Linked DNA regions of Neodiprion lecontei. The protein of the gene in region 4 purifies or fractionates together with the protein of the main gene of each other region. This does not show direct contact. Links are inferred from orthologs where the notes say so. Each region holds a gene or a part of one and is shown on either strand. Other genes may lie near its edges.

The links.
Region 1: the proteins of protein smoothened (region 4) and ubiquitin carboxyl-terminal hydrolase 8 purify together in Drosophila melanogaster (affinity purification with western blotting, with the first as the bait; 4 studies listed by BioGRID). This does not show direct contact. The link is inferred for Neodiprion lecontei from reciprocal best matches to the Drosophila melanogaster genes smo and Usp8.
Region 2: the proteins of protein smoothened (region 4) and transcriptional activator cubitus interruptus-like purify together in Drosophila melanogaster (affinity purification with western blotting; 3 studies listed by BioGRID, with this or other methods). This does not show direct contact. The link is inferred for Neodiprion lecontei from reciprocal best matches to the Drosophila melanogaster genes smo and ci.
Region 3: the proteins of protein smoothened (region 4) and beta-arrestin-1 purify together in Drosophila melanogaster (affinity purification with western blotting, with the first as the bait; 4 studies listed by BioGRID). This does not show direct contact. The link is inferred for Neodiprion lecontei from reciprocal best matches to the Drosophila melanogaster genes smo and krz.

What each region holds. Positions count from the first base shown.
Region 1 is NC_060265.1:31,615,629-31,620,295, reverse strand, and holds the start of ubiquitin carboxyl-terminal hydrolase 8, read left to right. Parts: upstream 1-1,661; 5' UTR 1,662-1,903; exon of another isoform or gene 1,904-2,254; intron 2,255-2,335; coding exon of another isoform or gene 2,336-2,350; coding exon 2,351-2,629; intron 2,630-2,822; coding exon 2,823-3,199; intron 3,200-4,641; coding exon 4,642-4,667.
Region 2 is NC_060260.1:7,977,214-7,982,044, forward strand, and holds the start of transcriptional activator cubitus interruptus-like, read left to right. Parts: upstream 1-1,823; 5' UTR 1,824-2,920; coding exon 2,921-3,195; intron 3,196-4,831. UniProt on the Drosophila melanogaster protein: Has a dual function as a transcriptional activator and a repressor of the hedgehog (Hh) pathway. The full-length ci form (ciFL), acts as an activator (ciA) while ciR, its C-terminally truncated form, acts as a repressor. Involved in segment polarity.
Region 3 is NC_060263.1:23,041,452-23,046,474, forward strand, and holds the start of beta-arrestin-1, read right to left. Parts: upstream 3,036-5,023; 5' UTR 2,475-3,035; intron 1-2,474.
Region 4 is NC_060260.1:28,862,919-28,870,546, forward strand, and holds the start of protein smoothened, read right to left. Parts: upstream 6,044-7,628; 5' UTR 5,906-6,043; intron 5,295-5,905; coding exon 4,983-5,294; intron 4,601-4,982; coding exon 4,160-4,600; intron 4,025-4,159; coding exon 3,852-4,024; intron 3,224-3,851; coding exon 2,883-3,223; intron 2,669-2,882; coding exon 2,467-2,668; intron 2,314-2,466; coding exon 2,140-2,313; intron 1,941-2,139; coding exon 653-1,940; 3' UTR 1-652. UniProt on the Drosophila melanogaster protein: Segment polarity protein required for correct patterning of every segment. G protein-coupled receptor which associates with the patched protein (ptc) to transduce the hedgehog (hh) signal through the activation of an inhibitory G-protein.

The DNA.
Region 1 (4,667 bases), on a different chromosome or scaffold from region 4:
AGAAGGTATAGTTCATGCTGGGTAATTAGCATTCACGGTTTGATGGTTTTGCAGTCTCTGGTTTTATGGGTTATTGCAGCAGTGCTATCTTTACATTATATTGGTTATGCATTTATCTATGGTTTTACAATCTTCTATACTCCGGGCTATGTAGTAAAGCGTATGTTGCTTATAGTATAGCTCTCACCTCCGAATGCACAAATGGCATTGTTGAGTGCTATATAATAATTGAGTATAATTGTGTTAGTTAATTATAGTGTTAATATGATAGTGATATATAATAACGCATAATAGTATTATAGTTCTCTGTGGTACGAAGATCTCGTAACATGGTTTTTAAGCCTTGGCTAGTGAATTTCATAGTTATTTCCATCTAGGGATATTCCAAATAGTTAGACAGTTGTTTTAATTTCTTATGGTTACAAGATTCTCGTACTTCGAGTTTGGTTAGTTGATAAAAGTAACATGCAGTAATAATAGTCGATAAAACATACGGACGTTCCGGTCGGATGTTACACGTTCGTAGATTTACCATAGCAGCGCCATCTATTGATTACTTACTCAACCCAGTCGAAAGGTATCGACATCTGTTAGAATCATTCGGAGTTGACAGATAATTGTGACTGTCAAATAATAACAGACAAATAATTAGCAATATATTATAATTGCGACTATAATTTGAGATTTAAACTATCCTATCTCTCAAGTTGGATCGAACTGCACATGGTGTGCGTATTTTATTATAATCGGTTAAGTGGTTTAGGAGTCCATTGAGGACAAACATCGTGACACGAGATTTATATATATTAAGAAGATGATAATAATATGTGAAAAAAATATCCAAATTACACAGATGATATGAAGGAATTCGATAATATAAGACTATTAATAGTACGGTAAAAAATTGCCGTAAATCACAAATCGAAATAGAGACATGTGTTCTTATAAAGTGCGTGGAAAGAATAATATCGTCAGAAAAATATAACCTAAAGCTTACCAATATTGAAAAAATAAGGATATAAGTACTCACATGGATGTAAAAAAGCAGTCGAAACTCTACAAAAGCATCTGATGTTACGAAATATAACTTCAAACCCATAGTTACCGCATCAAATACATGTATAATATGAGGTGATATATACCAATTGGTTTATATGCCTCAGGAAGTAAAAATATGCATTCAGTCGCGTGTTTCCCGCCGTTTGCTGTCAAATTTGTCACACCAATAATTCTTGTTCGTTATGCCATATGCCATGGAATATGGCTTATGGATCTTTATGTAGATTGAAATCCATAATCCATAGGCAGAATGCATAAACCATACGGACTGGCCTTTTGCAATTGCGCATGTGCTACGGCTTCTGCATTCTGCCTATGGCCTCTGTAATTTTATGTGCTCCAGCCTTAATTCTGCCGCAAAGTGCTGCCGAACACGGTCTTTCATGATCGGATGCTACATGAAATGCTACGGATGTGTTGAGGTCCGTGAACAGAATGCTGCCTGGGTAGTTATGCAATAGTCCCCGGAGTTTGCCCAATCCAGGCGCACCTAACGTACGACCATCGTACGACAGCTCCTCATTCAACACTAAATTGCTTTGTATTCCATTCCTCATACTGGCAATCGTTGGTCATTTACAGGTGTTTGATAACACAATTGCAATGTTTGATAACTCGACCGCTTATTCAGGAAAATTGAAACAATTGTAGTTAGGCATAAAACCGATAGCATAATTGACCAATCAGAGCATTTTTGCTGCTGATGCATTAAGACCGTGATATAGTCAGATCCAGTTGAATACCTCCGTGTGCGCGGTACGCGTTTGAGGTGGAGTATATTTCAGTGCCTTCGATTACCTGCGTTGACTTTAATTATTTGTCACCTGTCAGTTGGGAGTTGCGGGTAACTGTATCTTTCTGTTTCCACTGTTAAAACACTAGTATGTTCAAATCAACGACGAAAGAGACGTGAAAGCAAATGTCACCGTTTCTATAACCACCAATGTTGTGTGACGTACATACCTTTCATGAGGCATACTACGTATTTGTAATGATCGGATCTGTAGAATCCTCGAAATACAGTCAACTAATAGAAGCTTGGCTTTATCCCAAACTCACAGATACCGATTTTTTAGTTCGTATTATATAAAAAAAAAGTTATTAAAACATGTTGAACCGTGTTCAATGTGTACCAATTTTCATGAAACTTCACGATGTCGGTGCAACTTTCAATTGATCATTGGAATAACTAGTTGTACGAACCTCAATTTCCAAATCGTCTGTTTCAAACGTTGGTTAAGCAGAAGACCCGACTGACTTTTTAATTTAAAAACAGAATCCTACAGTGACAATGCCAAGTACTGTACCCACTTGTCCGCTTCATTGTGCCACATGTTTCGAAGATTTAACGAGCCAAGCAGAAGTTAAATTCGAAAAAAAAAATCCTAAGATGGTATGCAAATCTTTGGGAAAATTACTGGATGAAGGAAAGAAACACAGATTGACTGGAGATGATGAAATGGCTTATATAGTTTATATGCGATGGATTCACTGCATTCGCTGGCTCCAAAAAACGCCTGATTTTACAGAAAACAAAGATTTTCTCAAGCCTTATGTTTCGGGGTCTAAGGTAATCCTGGGCAAAAGTTATAGATTTTGGTAGATGGCAGAAAATGTTAGGTTGACCTATTTCCAACATTTTTTTTTAATAGTACATTATCCAGCCCTCATACCTTTTAGGAAAAATTGCTTGACTTTTGAGCAGTATTGATTTTTCGAAAATCATTACTTAAATTAGGCAGCTAAGTGTGTGTGATTTACAGGTAAAGGAGATACTAAGTCTTTTGGAGGAAATTGCTGACAGATTGAAAAACAGGTATAAGGTGAAACGATTGGAAGAGAATACTAAACAGATACTGAATACTGTTGAAAAGGTGATAATTGAAAGCGATCACATGAACGATGATGATTTGTTAAATGAAGTTGGGGATATCGAGCTGAATTTACCCGACACACCGACGGATGACCCAGATACCAAACTGACTGAAACGTCGATAACATGCATGGAGATGTTTCAAGAAATGCAAAAACTGGTTGATCGAATAATAATAATTGATATTAGACCGCGAGGAGATTTTCAAAATTCACATATCAGAAGCGATCAATGCATAAACATTCCAACTGACCTAATAAAGACTGGGTAAACACACAGTTTTCATTGGCTTTAAATGAGATACTCTTCCAGGGTGTATACGCACTGGAGAAATGCCAGAAATTTTTCTTACTGGGGAAAAACTGAAATTTTCTGGTACTCTGTGATAGTAAGATAAATTTTGCACAATTAGTGCACAATTCATGTTTTGTTTAGAAAAATTTTTTCCCATTATGCCTGGTTGACATAGTGTAATAATATCGTTTGTCTAATGGTATAAAGACATATGCACCAAAGATGCGAATTTCTCGGAAGAAAAAATCTGTTAAAAAATTAGACGTAAAAATTACAGAGGTTAATGGCCCTCTGTTTGGTGGATATGCCCTTTTGCACCAAAAAATATTTTTATTTATCACACTTATAAATGATATCAGGTTGCATCCGCCATTTTTGTGTTTTTTTCGCGACCAATGCAAAACCCTTCAAAATATGAAGATTTCTCAATTTTGAAAAAAAATTTACAATTGCGTCTTTTGTCAAAAAATATGGTTGGACGTAAGGGTATAAGATCGTATTCGCCAACTTATTTTAAAGCTTTGAAAACCTTTCGAATGTAAAGATTTATTGATTTCGGAAAGGATAAAAATTTTTTTTTCACAAATAATTATATCGGACATAACAGTACAAGGGCGTATTCGCCAATTTATTTTTTCTTGCAAACGCTTTAAAAATCTTTGAAAAGTAAAGATTCATTTATTTTGGGAAGAATGTTTAAAATTTTTATTTTCTCAAAAAATAACATCATACGCAACGGTATAAGGTTGTATGTGGGAAAATGCGACCTTACACCATTAGAGAACATGATTATTTTTCATAAACTTTGTGATTAAAGGGCATACCGACCGTACGTACGACGCTCTACATTAACTACATTTTTGAATTTCAATGTTTTCGAATGTATGCTCATATTTTTCGCTTAAATACGATCGAGGAAAAAAAATATGCCTTTTTATCTTTACATGTGGTAAAAGCTCGTATAATGACACATACATCCTTATACCATTAGACATACGATGAACCTGATGTGAAAATAAAGGTTCTAAAATATTTTACACATTTAAATTATCAATGTACCCTGAAATTCTTAACATGGTGATGAAAAGCTCCCGCACGCATTCCTGTGATCTCAAATTTTATTGATAGAATTTCGTATTTTGCAAGCTATAAATAACATTCATGAAAATTAAAGCGCGATGTTATAAAAGTATATAAAAGGCTTGTAATTTCCTCGATATGCAGAGTAATATCAATAATCTATGTCTAGGCACTTGGGAGAAACATATTTTTCACTGGGAAATTCTAGAAAAACCCGGTATTTTTTTTTTTTTTTATTCCCAAATACACCCAGTCTTCATACTGATTCTTGAATTGTTATTTATTAAACGAATGAAACATGTCGCTGGTTATTTCTAGTATTTCTAATATTTCAGAATACTAGCTACCGATCTTTTTAAAC
Region 2 (4,831 bases), about 21 Mb from region 4:
TGAAGAGCCCCGTGAGCACCTATATACTCACACCTCGTACATCGGCGGTCTGTGCAGAAGGGGGGTAAAAGAGAGGACGGGATAGGAGAAGGATGGAGAGAGACAGAGAGAGAGAAAGAGAAAGAGAGAGAGAGAGAGAGAGAGAGAGAGAGAGAGAGAGAGAAACCGAGCGCTGCAGGTGGAGGCGGCCGCGTCACCCGCCCGTCCGCGGATTCGATTGAATCATTACGATGCGGTAGGTGGTTGCGTGGGTAACGGTGAGCAGCGGCGCCGAGAAGAGTTCTGCACCCTCGATTTCAGGATCTAATGACTCTATTCCGTTGATACGTACGGCGGTGCTCCGTTTCCGTACGATGTATCCTATCACCGGTTAGGTATGATACGTTTCGATGGTTCGGATCAGGATGTGGAGAGTTAAAGGTAAGGAGAAGTATCTCATATGGATATTCGAATGAGAAAGTGTTCGCCGATAAGCAGGAAGTAGGGTTTCAACGAGACACCGGAACGGTGCTCGTGAGGAATAAGGGAATCAATCCGATTGGAGCTTTGTGGAGCTTTCGCTGCAGCAACGCCATCCTAATTTCTCTCTACTTTACGGAACACTTTCCGCACACTGGAGATAGTCCTCCTTACCTCTACCCTCGATAGATTAGGGAAAGAGGGTTCACGTCGAGGGGCGGAAGGGACTGCGAAATTCAACTCTTGTGAAAACAGAAAGCGTCCTGCCGTATAAGCAGGATGACAACTCGCCCGTGTCTCTGCGGCTGTAACCTATACACGAGAAAGGAAAATTGGAGGAGAGAAAAAAAATAATAGGCGAAATAACGTGGAGACATCACCAGGGATCACCGGAAGTTGTTTCAACTCAACACCGAATTGGGACTTCGGCTCCGGTGGCATGTGGCAATAAATACCTATACTTGAGCGCGTCGGCGCGGAAAGGAGCGAACTCGGGACTAGTTCTCTCATTCCTCTATCTTGTAGGTCCCTCGAGTTTCCCGATCACCCCAATTGAGAGCTGACGGCACATCCGCTAAATTTCTTGACTTTTTACCATTATCATTATTACTGCACTTCTCGCCGTGTAACGCAACACCCCAAAGTTGGGGAACGTAGAGACAAATTCCTGGAGTGAAAAGTGAAATTCGTCCGACTCAATATCGACGATATCATTTTCCAGCTCCCGCCCCACGTTTTCATTCAAGACTCACCTATCTTACAAACTCACCGCAATTGCGCACGCAGGTTGTATAACGAAGGCTGTGCAGATCACTTTCACAAACGCAACGACACCACCTCGGTTATCTTCGTTTCTCCTCTCTTTCCTCCTCTTCCTCCCCCGCTATAGAAGAGGGAACGACGACACCCCACCTCGTCCACCTCGTCACGCGAAGAAGAAGAAGAGGAAGAAGAAGAGTAAGAAGAAGAAGAGTTCTCTTCTTCCGTCTTTGTCCCGCTGGAGAAGGACGGCGGGGAGGAGCGGTTGGGCTGTTGCAGCGCGAGGCTGGTGCTAGTTGAGTTGTCGAGCTGACACGCGCTTTCAGCCCTCTCCTCTCCTCTCTCCTCTCTTCGCTCTTCTCTCCTCTCCTCTCCTCTCGACTCCTCTCCTCCCTCCTACGCGCCACCACTCTCGGACAACTCTGCTCTCCTCGTCGCGCTACCCCTGGCTATTCCTCTCTCCCTCGCTCTTATTTTCAGTTTTCTCTCATCTTCTCACTCGCACAGCACCACCAGGCAGGCGGTGCCGCCGCCGAGAACGAGTGCCGGGAATGCCTGGCCGCCCCTCTCTTCGCATCGCCGAGGACTCAGTACCGCCATACCCGTCAAAGCGTAAGGAGCGCGACATCACGTGGAACTACAAACACGTTGTTTCTCTACACCCACGATATCGCATCGCACCGTACTCAAGACCCAGTATTTCCATCGAATTCGACCACGAGTCCCTTCGCTCCTTATCATATTCCAACGGCAATTTGGATTTCTTTTCTTTTTCGGCTTTTCCGCAAGTGTGCGAATTCGGACTGTCGCTGTCACTTCGAGTGTCTCGTTTAAACCGCGGCGTGTTTAAAATAAAGAGATAAAACTTGCTGTCGGTCGAGTTTATCTCAACGTATGAGAAAAACAACACAAAACGTGCAAGATGAAGAAGGATTGACGTGAAGGATGTGCGGCAACCAAACCGATAACACAGTGATTAATACTTAGCCGCAAAAAGTGATCGAAATAAAAAGAATTCATCTGTAACTGGGGGGTGTGAAGTTTGAGTGGATTTTTTACGATTCGTCGAGAAATATACTGGAGGAAAGTAAATGAAAAATGCAAATAATGTAACCGCGTGGTTTAAATTAAGCCGTATGCGAACGTCACCCCGTGTGTGAAATTCTGCGTTGCAATCGAGAAAGAGAGAGAGAAAGCGAGAGAGAGGGGAAGAAAAAAAACACTAGTGCGGTAAAAAAGTTGACTCGCAATCAGGATTAGTTCGGGTAAAGAGTCCAGCTCAGGGGATCGGATCGGTAAGAATGTCAGCGAAGAACGAGGACCCGAATCAGGGTTAGGGACCGTCGGGGCCCATCGGCGACCAGCAACCGTCGATATCCTGGGCCGGGATACGCGAGAACTAAACCGCAACCACCGACGAAGAACCCGGACGATAAGCGACGGCCATGCGGATCAGGGTGAAACTGACGTCGAGTACAATAAAGGACCTGCAGAAATCGTCGCCGCGACGAACCCGGGATATTTAGGCGGCCCCCTCGACTCGGATCGCGGGTTCCACCTACGGCTGGAAGACCGACGTCGGTGTCCGAGCGACGCCGACTTCCTCGAGCACATCGGTTACGGGGCGAACTTCCGGGCAGCCAGGAACAGGGCGTTGACAACCCGGGAGATAGAGCTGGAGGTTGAACTCGAGGCGGCCAAGATGCCCGAGAAGGAAGTCGCCTACCATCAAGAGACCTTCTCCCTTTTGCCACCGCCACCGCCCCCGCCCCACCACCACCATCACCACTCGGCTTTTCACGCCGCGTTTCACCCCCACGGACATCCACCGCCGCCCTTTCACCCCCATCATGGACCGACGGCTCATCACCCCGCCGCAGCTGCCGCAGCCGCAGCCGCAGCCGCCGCATGGGAGCACCACGCCGCAGCGGCGGCCGCAGCAGCAGCCGCGTTTCACGCACCGCCTCCGCACCATCCGTAAGTCCCAGTTTTCGATCCTTCTTCAATCGCAGTCCGCGGATAATGTTTGAGAACCGCCGATTGTTTGCACTCTTCGCCAGATTTATGCATACCTAACCTTCGCTTATATCTGCACGGAACGTTTTTAGACAGACCACGATACGTATTCCGGAAGTTTTGACCGATCAAGCTTGAGCAAAGACTCAAATTGTCACGGATACCGGGTTCCAGTAATCGTCAATGAATGGTTGAGATTGAGTGGTACGAATCGTTTACCACTTCATGCGCGTCAGGTTTCAATGATCCATCACGAACCGATTACTCAAGCTTGGTGATACAGTAAGGATTTGAGTTTGCAATAAAACTTGATAGATATTATAGAAACGTTAACTTCGTGCACAGAATCCGATTCCTTACTAACACATTGCCCAAACACGTCGACCAAAACTGCTAAATGTAGAACAAGCGAAACCAAGAAATCGGTGAGACAGAAAAGTGCTTATCACGTCGAAGAGAGAATCAACGCGATAATGAATCTTCGGTTATTATATATAGAACATACAAGACTGATTTCTCTGACAGATATGATGGGGTGCAATATGACGGAGAATGAAAAAGAAATATTGTACGCGTTGAAAGTTTGTCAAGGTTTCAAATGGAGTTAAGCTAATTGCCGCGTATATCTCCCAACATTGTTTTCCTTCTTCTTCCACCGCGCAGTAACATTAGACTATCACTGCACTTATCATTACCTACCTATATAGTAACGTTTGACGGAATCGTTCGTTAGGCTCTGCTGTTCGTAACACGCGGCACCCGAGAGTACACAGACTAAACACGATTCGAGTCCCCCGATCTTCATAGTTGGAGATTACCGCGAGCCGCGGCATCGAGTTGCAAAAAGATATAACGCGATTATACAACTAACGGCGTTCCGAGTTGATATCGGGGTATATATATAGTAGTTTGATATTATAAAATACAAACAACGCACACGGACGGACTCTCGATGAATCGGGCGCGGTATCAGTGCCGGAAAAGAATAAAGAGGCCGATGTATATTTTTGGCAATCTAAAACCTCGCGTGTTCCCATCATCATCATCATTATCATCATCATCATCATCATCATCATCATCATCATCGTCGTCATCGTCGTCTTCGTTCCTCCGTTCACTCTTTGTCGGGAAAGAGAGACCTTGCGCGGATCTTTGTTTTGTTATGTAGATTAGCGCAGGTATAAAGGTATATAAGCCAAAAGCAATTCACCTTGCTGAAAGATGAAAAGAAATTTTTCATGGATTCTTTTCAGAACAGATGGGGGATATTCGAGTTCATTATATCGATAGAACGTCAATCTTCGGGGGGGCATATGCACAACCTGCGACCAGCAGTTGCGTGCATCGCAGGACACTACACGATATACGTACCAATAATATACATGATAAAACTGATTGCCGCGCTCGTTCATATAGGTGATCACCTATACACACATACCTGCTTTATAATTGTGCAGTAAAATTAACCGCCTATCTCAAGTTGATACTCAGATAACAACGGCACCTCGGTAACCCTTGCATTCCATTCTTGTCACTGCGGTGTTGCTACCGAGTGCCTGCACTTGCGGCAAGCACTCACCACGGTGCGTGCAACATT
Region 3 (5,023 bases), on a different chromosome or scaffold from region 4:
AATTTCGGAAAATCCGTAATAACAATTTTTTAGAATAATGAATCGTCATATCTCAACATTAGAAAATTCAGGCTGATTCCGGAAAAAGATTTGAGAATGTTCTGCTGTTCCGTTAGAGATTTTCGATAACAATACGACACAGAAAAGCAATCGAAGGGAAAGTAGTCTACGGTTATTCGAGATATGGAATTTCCCATAACTTACGTGTCTACATACTTGTTACGATAATCATACTCGCATTTGATACGGTATCCAAAATACGAACTATTATCATTACTTTATGAATTTCCGCTGTCCATTATGCTGCTACTGTATATTGAATGATGACAAAAGTCTACAGCCCACGATTTGTTTCGTAAATCTACATTTGTGTGTACACAGGTATAAAGAGACGACAATACCTATAACCTGTCATGATGATGAGGAATTGAGCAATTCAAATTAATAAGGTTCGTTGTCGAAAGAAACGTTTATTTAGAAATTTTAGGATTGTTTGAAATTCACCAATTTCAAACCGCAATAAAGCAAATCACGGTCATATTTTTTAATATCAACTACTTCCAACTAATTCTGAATTCGCATTGTAGTGAAACGCTACGAACTTCCACCTCTTTCAAGTTAAGGAAGAATTTGATGCGTGCATTCCCAATTATGCTCAGTTGACTCACAATATCGGTTAAGTCAGCTTTAACCGGCGCCAAGGAATTTTGCCACGCCGTGAGAGTTGTACGAATTATGTACGAGTTGTTGCTATGAGATGCTTTCAACTATTCAATAGACTTCATTCTACGACGGGCTCATTTCATTCAAAAGACTATATTTTCTACAAAGGCAATAAAACAGATCATTTTTACACTACTCAACTCGATATTGCCATTTTTTGATCATAATCAATATCGCTAAAATATCGTATTGTATTGTAATTTGTGAAAAGCGAAAGTCTTCTAAATATAACGAACCATCGTAGAGTGAAATCGAATATAGATCTATTATATTCTTAGCCATTTCGAAGCGATTTGAAACGAAGCATTGATATCCACGCTGTTGTTAATGTTTCCAACATTTTATATTTTTATATTTTTCATGAAATCTTCGTAGCTTGCAAATATGATAATTTGACAAACAGTAAATGTGCGATTATCTCGGAGTAAACTTAATAAAAATATTTCGAATTATGGGCAACCAACCACATTAAGTAACGCCTAATGAGGTTTCCGAAGAAACATGTAAACGTTAAGAAAATGTTCGCACAGTACCGTAGGCTCCGAATTTTCCCACGGTACGAAGTATTTCGGCTATGTGAATTCAGTTATAACCGATCTCAAACACATCCTACACTTTCTTAACGGATGAATGAGGATGTTACGTGAAGCATTCTAACACTCGCTTCGTGCATTTCGAGTAAGTAGTAGCAGCTCTATGGATTTCGTGGGAAGTTCCCACGTTATGCATCTAACAGGTTGGGGTAGGTCAAGTCTTTGTATACCTTTTTTTACACCACTTTTGATTCCTTCGACTAATTTCTCATACAATAGAAGAATTTTTCTACCTCTTCACTTTTCCCTCTTGTTTCTTTATATTTCTGTCGACGTTTTCATTTTCTTATCAGCGGTAAAGTTCATTACTCACGTAGGTTGTGCGATGACTGTTTTTGTTAAACATAACCGCGATGCATTATAATAGTAATAATATCGGTATCAATAATAATAACAACGACAACAACAACAACAATAATAATAACAATAATAATAAAGTTAAGATCCTCACTGTCAGCAAGATTTAAGTGTTTCACTTTGTTTCCGGCAGCGTTGGAAAAAAAGACATTACTATTTGTCATCAGGTGCGATCTAATCAGCCTTTTCCTCAAACTAAACTGGTGGTTGTGATAAAAGGAAACCTACGTCATTCCGATTCTTGGAATTCCGAAGCTTCGACAGATTTATTTGTTGATGCGAAACGACACCTCCTTGAAAGTGTTAATTAAAATCTCGCGCGCAATTGGATATAAATTTCGAAATTAATTATTCGGTCCCGCCACGCCTCCTAGAGCATATGTATAGTATTTGTTTAATAACCCTCGACCGTCCTAAGAGGCCGTATTGAGTAACGTAGGGTAGGACGAGTACTATTCGCGGGCGATAATCACAAAGTTGAAAAAAATTCCGAGAATTCTGACAGCGCATTTCTGGCGTCTGACGTCGTCGGTCGAGGGATCATGGGGACGAGGAAACTGAAAGAAACGAGTAAAAAATCACAACGAAACGCGGCGACGTACATACATTCATAGTATTCATACGTCAAACGTTGTTTGCCCGTCACTCAGTTGTTACCAAGAACAGCATGCAGGCGTAGATAGACCTCGATGAAAATCGTGTATAAAATAAATTTGTAAAAAGGTATAAAAAAAAAAAAGTATCTATGTACCTAAACGATAAACGTAGTGAAACAAAAATAGAGCGAGGGAGAGGACTCACCTAACTTGTCCTAGAGACCCCGTAGTTCCACACCCTTTTGCGATCGGCAATGAAAATTCATAGGCGAACGGCACCACAGTTTCAACACTCGATGAACTCACACTGCACCGGCATCGGGTTTATTGTAAAAAAAAAAAAAAAAATACAACTAATCGATACGTCGAACGGTTACAAAACTACGCGTTTGTATGTTTCAAACACAAAACGTACGTAGAGTACGGAAGGTACGATATCAACCAGCGAAGATACACATCCCGACTCTGATTACTGTGAACAAGTGATCTCGATTCCTCGATACGTCACGTCCGCGCCGTAGATGCTGGCGCCACAGGATAGATTTTACATAACCTTGTCGTGAAAAAAAAAAAAGACTCGCTTCGCGACAACCGCCGCAGATTAATATGACTTTGAAGCTGTGCGAGATCTTATTTTTCTCTCTGATATATCGGAACGAGCAAGACAGCGTCTCGGAGCACGGCGGATATGTTCTCTCGCGTCGGTTTATTACTGTCAAAGTGTCGACTGACCTAACCTCTCCCTCCCAAGTCCCGCTCGAGCCACCGCTCAAGTCGAATATCGACCGCAACCCCCTCCCTCCGCCCTCCGGCCGCTCCCCCCGCCGTCAAGTGACTAACTTCGTTCGCAACGTATTTGCCGCGACGCCAGTTGCGTGCTGGCCGATGCTGATGCCTTGTGCATCGCCTTGTGTGCGTCTGGTATGCGTAACTCGTAACGTGATACATGCGCCCTGGCTGACTCGCTACGCGCGCTGACCCGTTCTTTGTAACCGCTTGCACGAGCCGCCGATGGTCACGGACGAAAGAAAACATACGTCTACTTACTTTACGAAAGCTCTAATTTGATGTCAATAACTGTTATTTGATCTGTAAATTATTTTTACTGTACACTTCTTTGTCTATAAAAGTTATGAGAATCGATATTCAGCGCATGAATTCTTTGTTCATCGTTAATTTATTATTTACCCCTTGTGTATAATATAATGTCACTAAATAAGGATTTTCTCAGTGGAGATACTGTTTGCCTTATGTGTGCATTTGTGCACTAGTACACAGTCGTTATCTTAGGTTTCTGGTGCAGTTATACTACATGCAGTTTTTACATACACCATGGACATAGAGCGTGGATCACGCATACGGCGCTGACGTGTCCGGAAATGGGAGAGAGACAGAGCTATACCAGTGTATAGTAGAGATCAGTGATACCAACATCTCTTCCTATACTAACTGGATACCGTGTTATTTTCTTTGTTGCGTGTAGTCAATTTATCCATTACCGCGGGTAATTCAAATAATCATCGAAAATATATTTTGTGGGAAACCGTGGAAATTGCTTTAAAAGGAAATAGTATTCGAGGGATTCTCTATTTCAAATATTGTGCTGAAGTTTTAATCGTACTTACTACCAAATTTACATGAGAAAATAAAAAATATGAAATATACGCGGACGACATAACTAGGTTGACTGAAGAACATATCAGTTATATCATCATGGTACTGAAGAATATTTCTTCAGTCAAATTATTCTTGTTACAGATTGTCAAACTATGTCGATGTATCGTTTCACAATTTGTAACAAGAATGATCAATAAAAAAATAATGGACCTTTGACCAGACTTCTAAATTTCATTCACAATTGAAGTTATGTAAATGTAAACTGTCTCTATTTCGGACGTCCATTTGGCACAGTTGTAGACATACTCCATAATTCTGCACTCTAAATTGATTAATTGGATACAATTCCAAAGGCGAGTGTTTCAAATGGATGTTGCTAAACTTCGTTCGAAATCCTGCTAGCTATTAATAGATTGAAATTGGATCACTTATCAAAGTTTAGTCAGGATAATTGATCGAAAGCATCCTATCGGGGGATTCCTTACTTGTAGAAATTAATGATTCTGGAAATGACTACGAAGTCTAGTTTTGTTCTGAATATTCCTCTCCACGGCAATTATCTAGTGAATATCTCTTTTACGAATAAGAGCCTGCACATTGGGATGTTTTCGAGTAAATAAAGAAATATCCTAGCAGGGTACAGCTTTTCTATTTGGTTTGCTTGTAGCTACGTTACATATGGTTACAGAACATGGATCTTTGCTGCTTATGTGGATATATAGCTTGGAGACTTAATTAATGCGATACTTCTCTGTGATATCGAGATCGGATATTTTTCCAATAAGGAATTTTTCATTCATGATTTCAAGTTTCTGTAAAAATCTTGACTGCAGAAAGAAATTAGCTCCTTAAAATGGCGGTGTAATAACAAGAGAATCGAAACTAATGTTATTAGCATGATATTCGTAATTAGAAAATACCCATGATGCTTCATTTCACCCGCGACTAAACCGAATGGACAAATAGGAGAACATTTTAAAGATTTTAATATTTCATTCCATTAAGTTTTTTCGTTCGATTCTTAACTGCTCACTGACAATCCGAGGACTTTGATATCAATTTTAATTTAAAACTGTACAATCTCCGGTATGATATCTTAAGCACAAACGAAGTAACCATTCGTACTATAGAGTGAGC
Region 4 (7,628 bases):
ACGATCAATATTGCTCCAACAAGTTGGAACGTTATGCACTCAGTCAGTCTTGATTTGAGAATAAAAAAAATGTTAAATATGTAAAAAGAATTTGTTTGCCTCCATATTTTGCCAACTTCTGGCATGCATCTTAAATCATACCTTAATTAAATGTCAACAAGATTATGTAAAATGGCGTACGTGGATGCTCGTAATAGATAGCTTACATGAAAGTTGAAAAAAGTAAATTAAGGGCACATCATGATACTATAAATTATAACGAAATATAAGAAGTGTTGAGTACGTACAATTAAATCATCTGATTTCAGATGAATAAATTGTGACGGTTAGTTGTATAATGTTCAGTAATCATGCTTATTGAGTATCACAATTATTTGCTTTACAAAGTTGGTCAATTTCTCGAAATACATTTCCCGACATTGAACAGAGTTAAAATATACTTATTACTTAGCTGGATTTATTTTTTATCCTAATATAATGTTATTACGTTAAAAGAGTTACGTTAAAAGAAGTATAGATCTCAACAGTACTCGGCTTTACCTGAAACATAGCTTAGATTTGTTGAACACGCAAGTACGTATGTTGACTCCACACTACCTGACACTAAACCGGCTTAAAACACATTTCAATTTTCATGTATGACTAAACAACTCTACCTGATGTCAGAAGATTTACGATTAGCTGTTTTGTTGAGTTGTGGGGAAATCTGTGTCCCTTTAGAGCTACAATTTCTACTGTTAATTATTTCATCAATACTTTGCTTTAATTCCTCCATCTCTAAAATATCAAGAGGGAGAGAAGTTTGTGTAGCCATCTCTCTGGCATTGGATTGAATGTTTGCATCATCACTTTGACGCTTTGTTAACTTCGTTTTCGAATCGTCAGATTGTATGAGTCGAGAGAGCTCCGGACAGAAAGATGTCAAACTCGATACCAGGTCACCTTTTCTGTACATATCTTTGAGCTCTACTTCCATGTCTTTTACTTTCAGTTCTTTACGTCGACCACTACTGTCATGAATATAGCTCTTTGTACTATTGTTACTTGACTTACTTTTACTTCGCTCGGGAGGTTCTTCAACAGATATCATTTTCGTATTTTCTTCAGCATGGCTATCTTCGCTCTCACTGTCCTGCTCTTCTTTATCCACATTGCAGGCTTCCACATCGATGTCTTTACGTGGATTAATACGCGAACCTTTCTCTTCACTGCTCAAGTTTTCGTCACTCTCACTTTGTCCTGGGAATAAAAACGGCAATATCATGCCTGCGTTTTTACCATCTAGCATTTTTGAATTTATGGCTTGCCCATCCAGGCCAGCACTGGCAGATCTTCTTTTCATGTTTGGCATTTGTAAGGGCGGAATGTTGGGATTCCCTCCAATAGTCAAAGCTGAAAGAATCTGGGCTCCCAGTTCGCTCTCCTGTGATGTTGTACTACCTCTTCGAAAAAGTGGTTTAACTTTTCCAGATCTTGTCTTGTTGAAATCGCGCCTCCTACGTTTTCCTCGCCTGCTACGAGAATTACCAGGTAACGTAGTGGAAGCTACTTTTCTAGTTGTCTTAAGTTCTGCTATTTGTACAGAGATTTGGGAATCCAATGAATTTCTTCGGGACTCTACAGACACACGACGAACGCTAAAACTAATTTCTGAGTCAACGGAATTCCGTCGGTTGCTCGATACAGATCCTGTTGTTACACCAACTAAAGCACCCCTTCTTGTCACCAGCTTTGGTAATGCAGCTGCCCACGTTGAACTGAAGTCTTGAGAGGCTACTGAATTTAGTTCAAAATTTAGACCAACTGGATCTTCATGTGTGTTGTGGAAGCTTATAGATAATCGTCCAGCATTTTTAAATGTATTTCTCTTTTCATAGGCTTGAGCAATTGCTTTGTACTTTTTTGGTATAATTTGTTCTTCTGCCTCACAGTTGAAAGTTCTGTAATGATGAACAGATTCGAAGTAAGTAAATCAATATTCTTACGTAATCTGTGAAAGTGCATACTGGTGAAGAATTCTCAAGAACTCTTGTCATTCATTCGAAATGAATTTACTTTATCAACCTTCAACATAAAACTTAGTATTTGCACAATATCAATTTACTTATAGCTGCCATGTCTTGGGGAATTTGTTCTCACCGTCTAAGAAATCTTTTCCAGGTATCCACAGTTGATCCCGTCCAAACCCAAGAAGACATTAAAACACCAGCAAAGAATGGCGATAATAAATGTAATTGAAGCTTGGCCGCGCTGGGTCTTGATGTCATTTTACATTCTGATACTCCTGCAGTATATTTCGTTGTAATAGTGCAGCTAAGCATAAAATTGGTATTCATTTAAAAAATTATACATTTACTATTGTCCAGTATTTTGTAGCAATATAGTGATAGTGGTCATACAAAAGTACTCTTTAAAAACAATTATTAACAAAAAATTCACAATAATTATGCATAACCAAACGCTTACATCATATAATCTCGGAAGCTTTGTTTCCATTCCCACGAGTGTTGGAATTCATGGATGTGACAATAAAATGTTACTATTACTGCCACAAAGGTAAATATCGAAAATAATCCCAATCTCACAATTGTTTCTCGAATTTTGGAGCTAGCTCGCTTAGATATTACTTCCTGACTGCTTATCTTCAGATGAATTAACGTTATCAATCCTGAAACAGGAGAAACTTTTGAGAAACTGATTTTTCGAATCAATTAGAAAATTAGTTTATCCAAGTTGTAGAATCATCAATTGACAGATATACGAATCTTGCAACATACTTACTCTTTGAGTACGAGTGGAAGAAAGCATAAAAATAGAATGGTATAATTAGATTATGAATTACTGCATTGTACTGAAAACAAAATCAGTTCAAAATAATATACCTCTTGATAAGAAATATCCTCCAACAAGTAGTACAATGCAAATAGGTCCCAATAAAAACCACGCTCTCACAGCGTGATTTGCATAGCCCACAAAACATATTCCAGTAACACTGTTTCCATCTATTTCTCCCAGAGCCATAATTGTGACTGTCAATACTAGCGGAAGACACCAAGCGATGAGATGAAAATAAGCTCCTTTTTTATCAATTCTGTCCTGGATCTTTCCAAGAGCTTGAAAACTCATATGCCATGCGTACGTAAAGATAACAAACCAAACCATAGCTGCCATCAGAAAATAGTAAACGAGAACAAATACCACCACGCAGGATAAGTTCTCACCGCTGCAAAACAGATATTCGTTGTGTGATTAATTTGATTAAAATTTCTGAATCAAGTTTGCTTCATTTGCAAAATGATTTCAATATTGGTACATAAAAATAAAATTACAATCTACTCGTGACACAAATAAAGATATCAAAATGGCTTGAAGGCGATTTTTATTACAGTAGACTTTACTTAATAAGTATTCTAGTCAGACACTCAGTTTATCATTTGTAGAACCAAATCAATGATGTGATGTGACATACACATGTATCCTATCAATTTAAAGTACTTGATTAGTTATTCAGTATAGCCTAGCAAGGAAACTGTTTCTGAACGTAAGCAATACGTGATTTCCAAGGAGAAAAACTACATGTATTTGTTACCAAGTAATATTAGTGTAGTATATTCCCTGACACGCACTCACTTAGGTATACAAACACAAAGTATTATGAGTTTATTGTTCATATAAGGAATAAGTGGTTATAAATAAGCGCAATTATTCGCATTGCTATAGTAAAATACTGATTCAGTAGGGCATTATTTATGCATCTAGCGTACTTAAGGCCCGTTGAAAAATCAGTAAGAAACAATGTAATTAATCTTATTCTTTGCAGAAGCTCATTTTCAACTTAAATTTATATGTACCTTGGTTCACTCATTCTTAAAGTGCCATCTTTTCGGCAAACAATAACATCTCTGCTACCAGGACCGAACTGTGCCAGCCACCCTACACACGATACCATGAAACAGCTGTTGATGTAGAATATTACTAAAGCTGGGTATTTGTTAGCACTCCTCCAGTCAATCAAAAATGTGACCTAAACATAACGAACAACTTCTGATGAATTTTCATTGATCGAAAGTCACAATTCATAACTAAAGCTTGATATATACTTATAGTTCAATGCAACTATTCAAGGGGCCAAGTTCATTATCGCAATCTACTAACTTACCACGGTAAACAAATTGAACAGTAGGCAGGTTGCAGCAGCCCATGCGACAAAGGAATGGATTTGACGCTGTTCGTCCGGTGTGAAAAGTGGATCGCTGCACTGAGTGCCGCACCCTTCAATACCGTCGAAAATTGATAGTGAATTGTCTGTGTGTATAAGTGGCTTCAGGCATTTACCGGAAGTGTTGAATTTCAAGTCTCTGACATCGTTTTTACACATTTTTGGAAAAAGTTCTGCATTTTCACATCTGATGAAACTTGGCCAGATTGTGTGATTAAACAATAAACGGCATGGGCCAGAGACCATTTTGCACTTCTCTTGCGAAGGCAAATCTACAATGCCATTGATGCATTTTGGCATAAAGATTGAACACAAAAATGGTTGAACTACTGCCCAGCATTTTGGAATGTGCATAAGACCACGGAATTGGTTCAAGTTCTCCTGTGAAGATGAATTCAAAATACATAGATCCAATTAGTTAATTTGAAACCAGTTAAACGTACACAGTGAAATACATAGAGTAACAGTTAATAGAATTCAGAGTATTTTAAAGTCTTGAAATAAATCACCTATGATTCGGTTTTAAAAAAATTACATCATATAATAGAAGTAAATTGAATCTCAAGATTACCATCAATACCAAAGCTATTCTTAGCACTAATAGAACTGTTTTTCAAGTATTGCTCCCGAACAGAATCACAATAACCCGTTATAATTGGAACAGATTTTTGACAGATCAGGTACTGAGTTCAGGAGGTATTCAGTATAAATTTTCCAAAATGCATGCTTCCTTATCATTAATATACATATGTACAATAATAACCTGTATACTTCCTTCTAAGGTAGAATCAGGGATGAGGTCTAACGTAGTAGTTGAATACGTCAATCTAGTACCCATGCACAAAGTATTGTTGCTGATATCAATACACTTTGCCGCTTTTCTACAATTTGCAGACTCTGCACTTGTATATCCATCCATCAAGAAACTCTGGTCTTCATGTCTGAGCCCTGACCTTCCAATCTCTATTCCATTCCAGGTTTCATTATTACCATTGGCAACAGACAAAAAGTTCCGGCTTAGTTCTGATCCAACTCCATAGAATACGGCCATTATCAAAAAGGCAAGCTGGAGCATCTAATTACAGAGAATGCTACACTTGTAGTCTTGTTTTTAATGCACGTATACAATATACATATATTCTTTCCTAGAAAGCAAGTTCAAGTAAAATAGACTAAACTGAGACTATCATCTTGCGTTATTTTATTGATAGTAAAATAAATCTCATAATCAGTAGCCAGTTTCTCAGGTCTATCTGGAAAAACCAATCTTTTTACTACAAGCTGATCTTGTACCTATTGACGAGATGTTGCTGTATATTCATTTCAATAATGATTTTTCAAAGATATAAGTACCAATAATTCATGTGTGCAAGTTTGAGTACTATGTTGACGATGATGTTTACAATTAAAACGCATGGATGCTTATCAGGATGCCAGGTTCTGACCATTCTAATTTAACATTTACCATTAAAAACATGATCAGAATCTGACAACCCAAATATGTGTATACACGCGAAGGAGAAATAATATTGTTATAATAAATAATATTTTTATGGAAAATTGGACTTACTGCACACAATGCACACCACTTTATCCTCAAATACCATTAATTATAAAGCTCCAAGAGAAAGTAAAAATTTTTAATTACTTAAAAATAACCGGGATGTGTAATTAACGATCACGTACCTTGATATCGAATACTCCTTGACCAAGGTAAGTAATTATCAGCCAATCTTTCCACGACAACCTCTGACATTTGTCCGATTTGTCATCAGAGCGTCGCCGAGAAGCGTCTTTTCAGACAAAGCGATCCGCATGCAATCGTGCCCGCAACGCATTCTATAGCTGACGACGCCGGGCGGCGGGTAGTCGGGTATGCCGGACGAAGGACCACACGCACGTTGCTCCCTGCCCCCGCGACCACCCCCCGATCCGGGTACCTCGGGACCACCCACGACGTCAAGATCCTCCATTCAGTCGGCGATAAGTTGCTACCAGGAAGGAAGAGGGGAGGAGACCTAACTCTTTCCCATGGAGACTACACAATGAGCAAGAACTCAAGTAGGTGAATTGACTAAACTTATCACAGTAATCGTTTACATTAGGTTTATTTTTTGTACCGAAGTGTCATTGGTTGCAGGGATGCTCAAGCCGACTGATCGATGATCTTGCAATGTAATTCGTAGAAAGTTTCCACTACCACCCCATACCCCCTGCACTGCCTTCGGTGCATACGGAACACCAGTGTCATCTTAATTCAGGCTGCTACTTGATTACATGGAGTTCGTGCTCCTTGTGTAGTTTCCATACTCTTTCCGAAGGCAAAGCTGGGACACATCTAAACGTCTTCAGTTCATCGTAACGCATCCAAAACCGAGCCCTTGCCGTGCCCGTGAGTCGTCAGCGTCAGCGCATAAGTCTTTTACCGACATCTTGCGATAAGTTACGGAAACATCACTCTGTAAAACACCACGGAGCTAGGATTGGTTATCTCATGCACCATTTCTACGCCATGCCAGTAGCAGCCCAGTGCAGACGGCATCGCACACCTGTCAAAGCAGACGAAGTCGTGAATTTAGTCCACTGATATCAAAGAGAAGGAGGGATTGGAGAACTGTCAGATCCGATTTTTCTAATGGTTCCACTGACGTTGAATTTAGCCTTGAAGATCTGACTCATGAATGGTGAATTTGTGTTACAGGTGAGTAAGCAAAAGTTTTAAAGTTTTTAGCAACGGCTGTTAGACCGATTCTCGTCAGAGAGGGCTGAGGAAGTGCGATAAGACCCGTATGCAGATTATTTACATACTGATAAAAACTTCCCGTTAAACGTACGTGAAACACATCTGGGGATTAAAGAAATAAGAGACATTATGTTAATTACCTGCAGGCTATTCTAATGTACTGATATTAGAATAATCCATAATGTGCCATATGCTGGTGATACTAACCTAACTTCGTATTGTACAAACGGCAGACGTCAAGTGTGTTATCGAAAGCGGCTTTACCAAATATTTTTAATACTTTGCATTCCACTTTTGCGACTCTATATTCTTTATATTCACCAGCTTATTTCTCTGTTGCGACAATGTACCGGCGGTAAGTGTCTGATAAAAGATATACCTCTTTTTTTAACTTTACACTTATGTAGTGTTTTTCTTTGGTTATACTCAAATCACACTGAATGCAGCTTGATTATCACATGAATAAATCCGTAATATGCTAGTAACACTTTGCTCATGACATAGTGTGTGCAGTAAATAGACATTGAAAATTTTGAAGTAAACATAATCTGGAAAATTGAATTTTTATCTCTCGAACGTCAACCACTCATGTGTCAATACAGAGTGTTCATTTCTCACATATTCCTACATTCATGCAATACGAAATTATTAAAATAAAACTCAAGA